2 linked regions of the Nothobranchius furzeri genome follow. The protein of the gene in region 2 interacts with the protein of the main gene of each other region in a pairwise test. Links are inferred from orthologs where the notes say so. Each region holds a gene or a part of one and is shown on either strand. Other genes may lie near its edges. The genes, in order: lats2 and map3k5.

Region 1 (4,249 bases), on a different chromosome or scaffold from region 2:
TAGGAACAGCGACAACGTCGCTGAGTTGGCACTACCTCACTCTCTGCTGCTAAAGCTACTGATAGCAAATGCTACGGGCTATGGCTGAGCGTGAACGCGCATGAAGCAGCCTGCTCGACCCGAGCAGCTCTCTTTTTCTGTGAAAAACAGACAATCACAGTAAAAATGCCAGGGCTCATTCTACAGGACCAGGGCATTGCAGGAGAATGTATGAAGAAGACATTTATTATTGCTATACATGTTTTGGCTGTCAAACTTCCATAATGTCCCTTTAAGGTTAGCCTAGCTTAGGAATCGACAACCTGAGGCTGCTTGGATCTTCTACAATGGCTCTTCGCTCTGGATAACATTACTTTAAAAACTTAGTTTTAAACATAGATAGAATAAAAAAAAATTCAAATTTAAGCAGCTTTTGATTTTGTTCATGTTTAAATTGAACAGAATGACACTAAAAACACCACTCTCATATCTGTTGTTTACTTTTTTTACATCATTCTCCAAAAATATCAACAACCCATTGAAAATAATATATTTTCTCTTTTTGCAGACACTCACATTCAATATATACAGAAGAGATTAATACGATTTTAGACTTCTATCTCAGAAATCAGAGAAATAAATCTTTAGTGGCCCTGGTCTTCGTCTGTAGATGAATTAATACCTTCTTTGTTTAGAAGGTTTATCCTGGTGGACCGAGGGGAGTTGTACACAGTCGACAGGAACAAACGGGGACAAACACCCAGCAGCGCTGTCCTACAGACAGACCAGCGACAGAGGAAGAGGAGGTGGAGGAGAGGCGACGTGTTGGGTGGAGACTGGACTGCAGCAGAAGGAACTGGTCCGCCCTGCTGCCATTGAATGTTCTTTTCCTGTTTGTATTGACTGGACCCGCCTTGCTCTGGTCCGTTCACAATGGTGCAGAAAGAGGTCACCGCTGCAGCAGGAAGTGGAGCCTGCGAGCGTTTCAGATTCATTTCAAACATATAACCGAAACTGACCCTGATGCTCAGATTGGTTTTCAGGACAGCAGCATTTACCTTCCCCTGACTTCTGTAAAGGTCGGTGGAAATAAAATGTATGCTGACACTAATGTTTAACTACCTCTTAGAGAAAGAGCTGATTACCAAGACTGCTTTTGTCCCCTGATCCTCCAACGCGGCACCTCATGGTTCCAGATGTGGAAACAAGATGCAGCGCAAACACTGGGTCTTTGTGGCAAGCTGAAATCAGTTTGTAGGCTCTCCTCCTCCTCAGCGCCGTGCACGGGCTTGAGCGGAGCATTCTTCACATTCCGCGCTCCATCACAGGGGTTTGAAACCACAAATGTCCCAGATCTTAACTGGACTAACAGGACAATCTGTGATTTAATCATCTGCTCTGGTCGGGCCCCAAACGTGCTCCAGGCGCTTCACTGTTACTTTAGTTCCCAGAGAGAAGATCCTGAGGAGATCTCAGAGGTTTCTAGTTGCTGTTCAGACCAGAAGTAGGAACTGGAGCTCGAACTGTGTGGCAATGATTTTAGACAATAACAGACATTTAAGCTGATGAAAGACTGGTCCTTATGGGGATGCCCGGTCTAATACAGGGAGTGATGAGCAGCAGCTAAAAGGTTTCACTCATGGGAAGTCTCCTGACTCTTCCGGGCCTGCTGGATATCCTGAAAGTGGGAAGAAGGGTGAAAAATCCCAAACATCCCGATTGAGAAACCCACCTGACATTTCAACACTGGAGCTTTTACTATGTAACCCAGTTACTACTTGGCAGGAGAGACTTGTATTGTGTCGTACCCAAAAGCACTAGGGTGTTTTATTTTCTAATTCCTGACTGAAGGAGGCGGAGTGGCTCCAGCAGAGGGAACAACATTCTGTTGTGAGAAGATGGCCACCCCGGAGCATTAATGGGACGTACTACCAATCATGCGATAACGGAAATTTAGATTTTAAAGACCTGCGCCCTCATTTATCAAGCTTGCTTACGCACAAAACGGGGTCGAAAAACTGCGTGAGCAGCTTTCCACGCAATCTTTGGGATTTATGAAAGAAAACTTAGTGGAAAAATGCACAACTTTAAGTTGACTAAGGACCTGGCTTACGCACATTTTGGACATGGAGAGCACCTGCAGTGCTGCTGCTGAGAAGGATAAAATTATCACTTGTACCGCTTCGTGCTCACACAGAACAAGCCTGTGCGTACTCCATGTTGTATCGGTCACAAACCTACTTGGCCTAAGTACGGTTTTAGTAAGGATTCTACGCAATGTTTGATAAACGAGACCCCTGACCATTATGACTTCTAAGTGGATCAACTCTGAAATAAACAGGTTACTCTTGTGCAGCTGGATGATGCAGAGATATAAAGTATCAGCAGCTTCCAGCTGCTCCAGACCAGTTCATGGAGAAAACATGGATGACTCTCGAAGAGCATCTGTGCTTGAGGTGCAGTCCTTTTTTCTGACTTCAACCTGTCACTTCTAAAACTCCAACCATGGTCAGAGTTTAAAGACACCTTTATCAACCACATCTTCCTTAGCATGAACAGTGAGGCTCACCTGATCACAGCCGGCGTTGACGAGCTCCTGCAGCATCTGCCGGTTCACCTCCTCAGCCTCTCCTGGCCCGTTGGCGAAGGGCATGAGGGACCTGCGGATTTCTCGCAGAGCGTTCTGGTAGTTGTTGAACTTCTGTGGCGGGCGGGGGTGCTGCTGCCGGCTGGTGGCGTCTTTCCCGCCCTTGGAGTCTGCGCTCCTGCTGCCCTCGGCCCGGGAGCCCCCCCCAAGCAGAGCCTGGCTCACCAGCTTGGCCGGCTGCTTCAGGCCCTCCTTAATCTCCTGAAGCCGCTGCCGCGTGTTGCCCACATACGGGGCAGCTGGGAAAGTCTTGGGCCTCATTGCCAGAGTGCCCAGGGCAGGCACCTACTCTAAAAGGGAGAAGCTGCACTCACCCAACTACACCCTCAAAAGCACCACCTCCAAGTGTGACCTAGATAGTCTCCAGGACAACAGATCAGAGGCAGCGATGGAAGGGACCTCCTCAGTTGTTTGTGTCTCACTTTGTGTTTCTAATTCCTGGCGGGGTGGACGGACGAGAGGCGAAGCGGGATACTACAAGCATTCCATGGTGTGGCTTTCAAAGCTCAGGTTCCAGCTTATTCCAGGAAACGCAGCTGAACATGTGGGTCCTGCAGAGCCAAACCATGATGATGCCAATCTGCTCCTGTGGAGGGGAAGATCACGTTAGAACGTCGTCATTACCATCTGACCTTTCTCATCACCAATGCAAAAGGAGCAGAATCCATCTCAACCACAAGAATGTGGTGCTTAGACTGGGAGTCAGTTGTAGCTGTGGGACGGAGATCATAACAGGAGATTAAAGGAGGCAACCCTCAAACGTTCCACTCAAATGTAAGGAGAAAGAACGGGAATTTGAAGCATGTTGCCAGTGGTCACCAAATGTCACAGCTTCTTCCTGGTACCAGTTTGAGACTATTATTACCTGGAAGCCAGGGAGTCAAATTCAGAACCTACAGTGAATAACCTCAAGAACGTCGGTGCTCATAAAACCCGACCGCAGCTGCAGCGGCTGCATACTTCAGCAGTGTGGTCATCCGTGAACACCCCTCTGAGAGCACGCCGCTCCAGCACGGCCCACCCCGCATCAGCCCCTCTGCCGATCAGACGCTTCACACCCCTCGGCCGGCAGTCTGATCCCGAGGAGCGTGCTCCACATTCTGCCACGACAGCGTTACTCCTCCAGGGCAGCTGGGGTGACATGTGGAAAATGTGCACATGTTCCTGTCAGGAGGCTCACATGACGATCCAAGAGGAGCCTTTATCCAAAGAGTCAAAGAGGGAGTTTTCACTGTCCAGCGACTCAATTCTCACAATGTTTTCGCTTTAATGAATGACACAGATTGAGTATTTCCACAGAATTATGTCAGAGTTCTCCACTCCTGGTCCCAGAGAGCCCCTATCCAGCATGTTTTAGTCATTTCCTGCTCCAACACACCTGATTCAGCAGGTCATCGAGCTCTAACAAGCCTGGAAATTGCCCACTGAGCAGAGAAACCGCTGGAATCTGCTGGATGGGGCCCCTGGGGGACCAGGACTGGACAACTGTGGATAAAAATATTTCAGTCTGTAGACAATAAAGAAACTCCATGTAGTGAGAATGCACCTCTAGAAAACATGTCCATCATGAGTTTTATAATAATATCAACCACACGACTCAGAGCTGTGGAGGACACACCCACC
Region 2 (3,814 bases):
CAGAAGCCGAGCACAGGCATTCTGAACCACCTGTAGACGGTTCAGGGAGGTTCTGCTCAGACACGTGAAAAGAGAGTTACAGTAGTCTAAGCGTGAGGAGATGAAGGTGTGGAGAACTGTCAAGTTCAGAGCGGAACAGAATGGGAGTTTAGCATTGTAAAATAATTGACTGTTAGCAATCAGTCAGTCAGAATAATAGTGATCTCACAAAGTCTCATAAATATTATTCTCCCCCAAGCCTCTGTTTTATATTAAAAACTGGATCAGCCATTGTCCACCTGCACCTGTGGGCTGCAACCTGAGCCTCTTAATACCGTCCGCACACGAACATTTGTTTGAACACAAACACGGGTGAGATCCACCCTTACAGTGTCTTTGTTTGGATTATTTATCCTGTCCGTTTATGTGGCACGAATGCCGTGGATGGAATTTTTAGAGCGCCACACCAGCAAACGGCTCTTCTTAACCACATGTGGTCCATTACAGGCGGTAAAAAGGAGTGAAGGGACGTCTGGAACGTATTATGGAGTTCACGTCAAAGCTTCCAAACATGGGATTTTTCCATATGATTTAATGAAAGGATTGGGACTCAGACAAGAAAGTATATTATTGTACCCTAAGCATGTTTTGTTTAGAGGACTTTAACGGGGAAAGACTTGCACTCACTGTTAGAGCCAAGATCAGACAGTACAGGGTGCAGTTACAGATCCCATGTCTGTTCTTTGAAAGAAACACGGAGTTCTCTTATTGAATAAAAGGGCCTCGATGTTCCTGTCCTTAAGGGTGGGGTATTGTCTTAATCCTAAATCGACAAAGCTTAGCCTTAGTGACAGGAACGTCTGTTGTTCCTTTAATCAGGAGATTTCTTTTTTCTCAAACTTTGTCCAAGTTGCTGCTGCTTGTTTGAACGCTGTTGCATTTTTCAACTAGAACGTCTGTTCTGATTGGATTTTGCAGGTGGGAATGTTTAAGATTCACCCAGAAATCCCAGAGTTAATGTCACCAGAAGCCAAAGCCTTTATTCTGCGCTGCTTCGAACCCGACCCAGATCGGCGCGCCACCGCCTTCGACCTGCTCACGGACGAGTTCCTCACCGTGACCAGCCGCAGGAAGAAGAGCAAGAGCAACCTCAGTGGTGGGTTCAGTTCAGAAATTACCAGCATCTTCGAGATAAAAAGTCCTGGAAACTTGTCCTGAACGCAAAGTAATGGGCCATTCCCATCTGTACCGGGTCGGCCCGGGCCGGGTAGCGTAGGTTGTTTACATATCTGGGTGGCCTGGTATTTTTCCGGGCCAACCAAGGCTCATTCTCAGCCCTCTTCTCGAGGGGGTCTGCTTCAGGCCGACCAGGGCCAACACACCCACTGCTGACAGCAAATTCACACCTTCCATTAGAGCAAGCCTCTGATTGGTGGGTAGAATCAGACCACATGGGCTTAAGACAAGGATGTGTGGAATCAACCGGGCCAGGCTGGGGCCGACTGGGGCTACCCGGCCCGGGCCGACCCGGTACAGATGGGAATAGCCCATTAGATTCCTCACCAGCCCTGCCCACAAAATCCAACATGGCAGCCATGCAGTTAAAAAGGGGCGATAACTTCGCCACAGCAATCAACTTTATTTGCACCATCAGGCGCTTTTCCATTGTTGGAACTTCAGGGGAAATTCTGGATGGGGAAATTTACCGTGAGATACGACAGCATATTGTGACTGCTTCGGCAGGAAGTGACGTCACTGATCAGCGCCACAAAGCATCCACAGTTAACTCTTTCACTGCCAATGACTTAAGTCGTCATTTGCATTTTTATTATTTTTTTTTACTGTGTGGGTGTCGGAACGAGCCCCCGCACCGTGAGAACGAACATCCAAGCTCTAAAGCAGATCTTCATCCACGTACGTCACACGTCACGTGATCAGGAAGCAGAAAACCCATGTGTTAGGAGATCTTTTTGGGCCGCTACTGTAAAAAAAAAAGTGAGGCGCGAACCGGAAAAGCTTCTGACGATACTTTGGACGTGCCTGAAAATGTCCGTTAAGTGGAGACACGCACATGCTGGAAAGTTCCTGTAAATTTATCCTGAAGTTCCGACAGTGGAAACGCACTTGTTAGTTTGGAGCAAGGCTCTCCACTCTTTGTTCTCCAGGTCCACTATCCAGCATGTTTGAGTTGCTTCTCTACCCCAACACACCCGATTCAACCGTTGCATCAGGTGTTCAGCAGGTCATGAAGATCTGTACAAGCCTGATAATCTGCTGATTAAAATCAAGTGTGTTGGAGCAGGGAAACAACTAAAACATGCTGGATAGGGGGGATCTTGTGGACTAGGCTAAAACGTCTTAGCGCAAAGCTAACATTTAGCTTGGAGTTAAAAGTTTGCAGAAATGGTATTTAAAGAAAAAACACAATCTGCATTCTGCACCTGAAAACCACCACGTATCACTTAAATAACAGCAAACTAGCTTGATGGATCGTTTTATAAGTGGGGAGGCAAGTTCAAATACTAATTTCCCTCCCGTTTGAGCCACAGCTCTCAGCTTATCAGTTTCATTGTGCTTTTAAGTTTAATCTTTAAAGCTCTGAAACTAGTTTTTTACTTAAAGCACTAAAACATCATTAATGCATAATAATGAAATTACTAGAAGTTTTGCAGCTTTAATTCCAAAAAATAATAATTAGTAATGGTTCACTTGTGAACTCCTCGTCAGTCTGGACTAATTATTTTATCACACAGCTTTTAAAAGACTGAAGCCACATCCTTCCTGTTTTTCGTAACATGTGAGCATGCTCCTCATGGGGTTTGCACCCCGCAGCGCTGATGCAATCATGTGCTCCGGCACCAGTGCACTGCAAGCTGCTTGCTCGGAAACGTTATCCTGCCAATCGTACATGTAAATCCTGTTGTTTTTCTCTCAAAAAACTGCTGACTCTTGGTTTTTTTTCTCCTTGCAGCTCCTTCCTCGGGTGCAGGTGAGTAACTCAGCCCTCTGAACATGTTTTTCAGACATTTCTACCACTACTTGATGGACTTTGTAAATTAAACTTCAATTTTACAAACTCCTCTACACTTCACAGACCTCTTTTTTGTCAAAGAACTCAAAATAGATGTGTTTATATTCTGTTTTTATAAGTCAAGGACAATTCTTCTTATTTGTTGCCCAATAAAATAATAAAGCTCTTCACCTTAAACACAAACTCAGAGTAGTTTGCTTTAGTGAGAAACATTGTCTACCTCAGGTTAGAATTATTGTGCGTGTGCGTGTGTGTGTGTGTGTGTGTGTGTGTGTGTGTGTGTGTGTGTGTGTGTGTGTGTGTGTGTGTGTGTGCGTGTGCGTGTGCGTGTGCGTGTATGTGTGGTGGAAACCCTTCTGCTCAGAGTACCTCCGTAGCATCTCCCTGCCGGTGCCGGTGGTGGTGGAGGACACCAGCAGCAGCAGCGAGTATGGCTCCGTCTCCCCTGACAACGACCTCAACACCAACCCATTCATCTTCAAGCCCAGCGTCAAGTGCTACAGCGAGAGGGATGTCAAGGGGCCCAGGTCCCTCTTTCTCAGGTAGAACACTTGAAATGGACAGAGTCGTGGCTGCTGCTTGCTGCAGACGAGTTTCACGCATAGCCTCACGACTGTGAAACACTAAACCAGTTGTCAGTATAAAGGCCAAAGCAGGTTTATTTCAGATTAAGGTCTGAGAAGTCTTTAACAGTGGATTTTCTAATGTAAAAATGATACAAAACAGCAGAAAATTTTGTTTTTGAACAGATTTACGAATTACGAGCCATCTAACTAAATGTCCATAGGTGTCCTTAAGACTTTT

The links.
Region 1: the proteins of map3k5 (region 2) and lats2 come close enough for resonance energy transfer, tested with the Homo sapiens proteins (2 studies listed by BioGRID, with this or other methods). The link is inferred for Nothobranchius furzeri from reciprocal best matches to the Homo sapiens genes MAP3K5 and LATS2.

Annotation. Positions count from the first base shown.
Region 1 is NC_091754.1:33,304,314-33,308,562, forward strand, and holds the start of lats2 (serine/threonine-protein kinase LATS2), read right to left. Parts: upstream 3,112-4,249; 5' UTR 2,888-3,111; coding exon 2,549-2,887; intron 1-2,548. UniProt on the Homo sapiens protein: Negative regulator of YAP1 in the Hippo signaling pathway that plays a pivotal role in organ size control and tumor suppression by restricting proliferation and promoting apoptosis.
Region 2 is NC_091742.1:11,446,941-11,450,754, reverse strand, and holds part of map3k5 (mitogen-activated protein kinase kinase kinase 5), read left to right. Parts: intron 1-957; coding exon 958-1,135; intron 1,136-2,950; coding exon 2,951-2,968; intron 2,969-3,374; coding exon 3,375-3,552; intron 3,553-3,814. UniProt on the Homo sapiens protein: Serine/threonine kinase which acts as an essential component of the MAP kinase signal transduction pathway. Plays an important role in the cascades of cellular responses evoked by changes in the environment.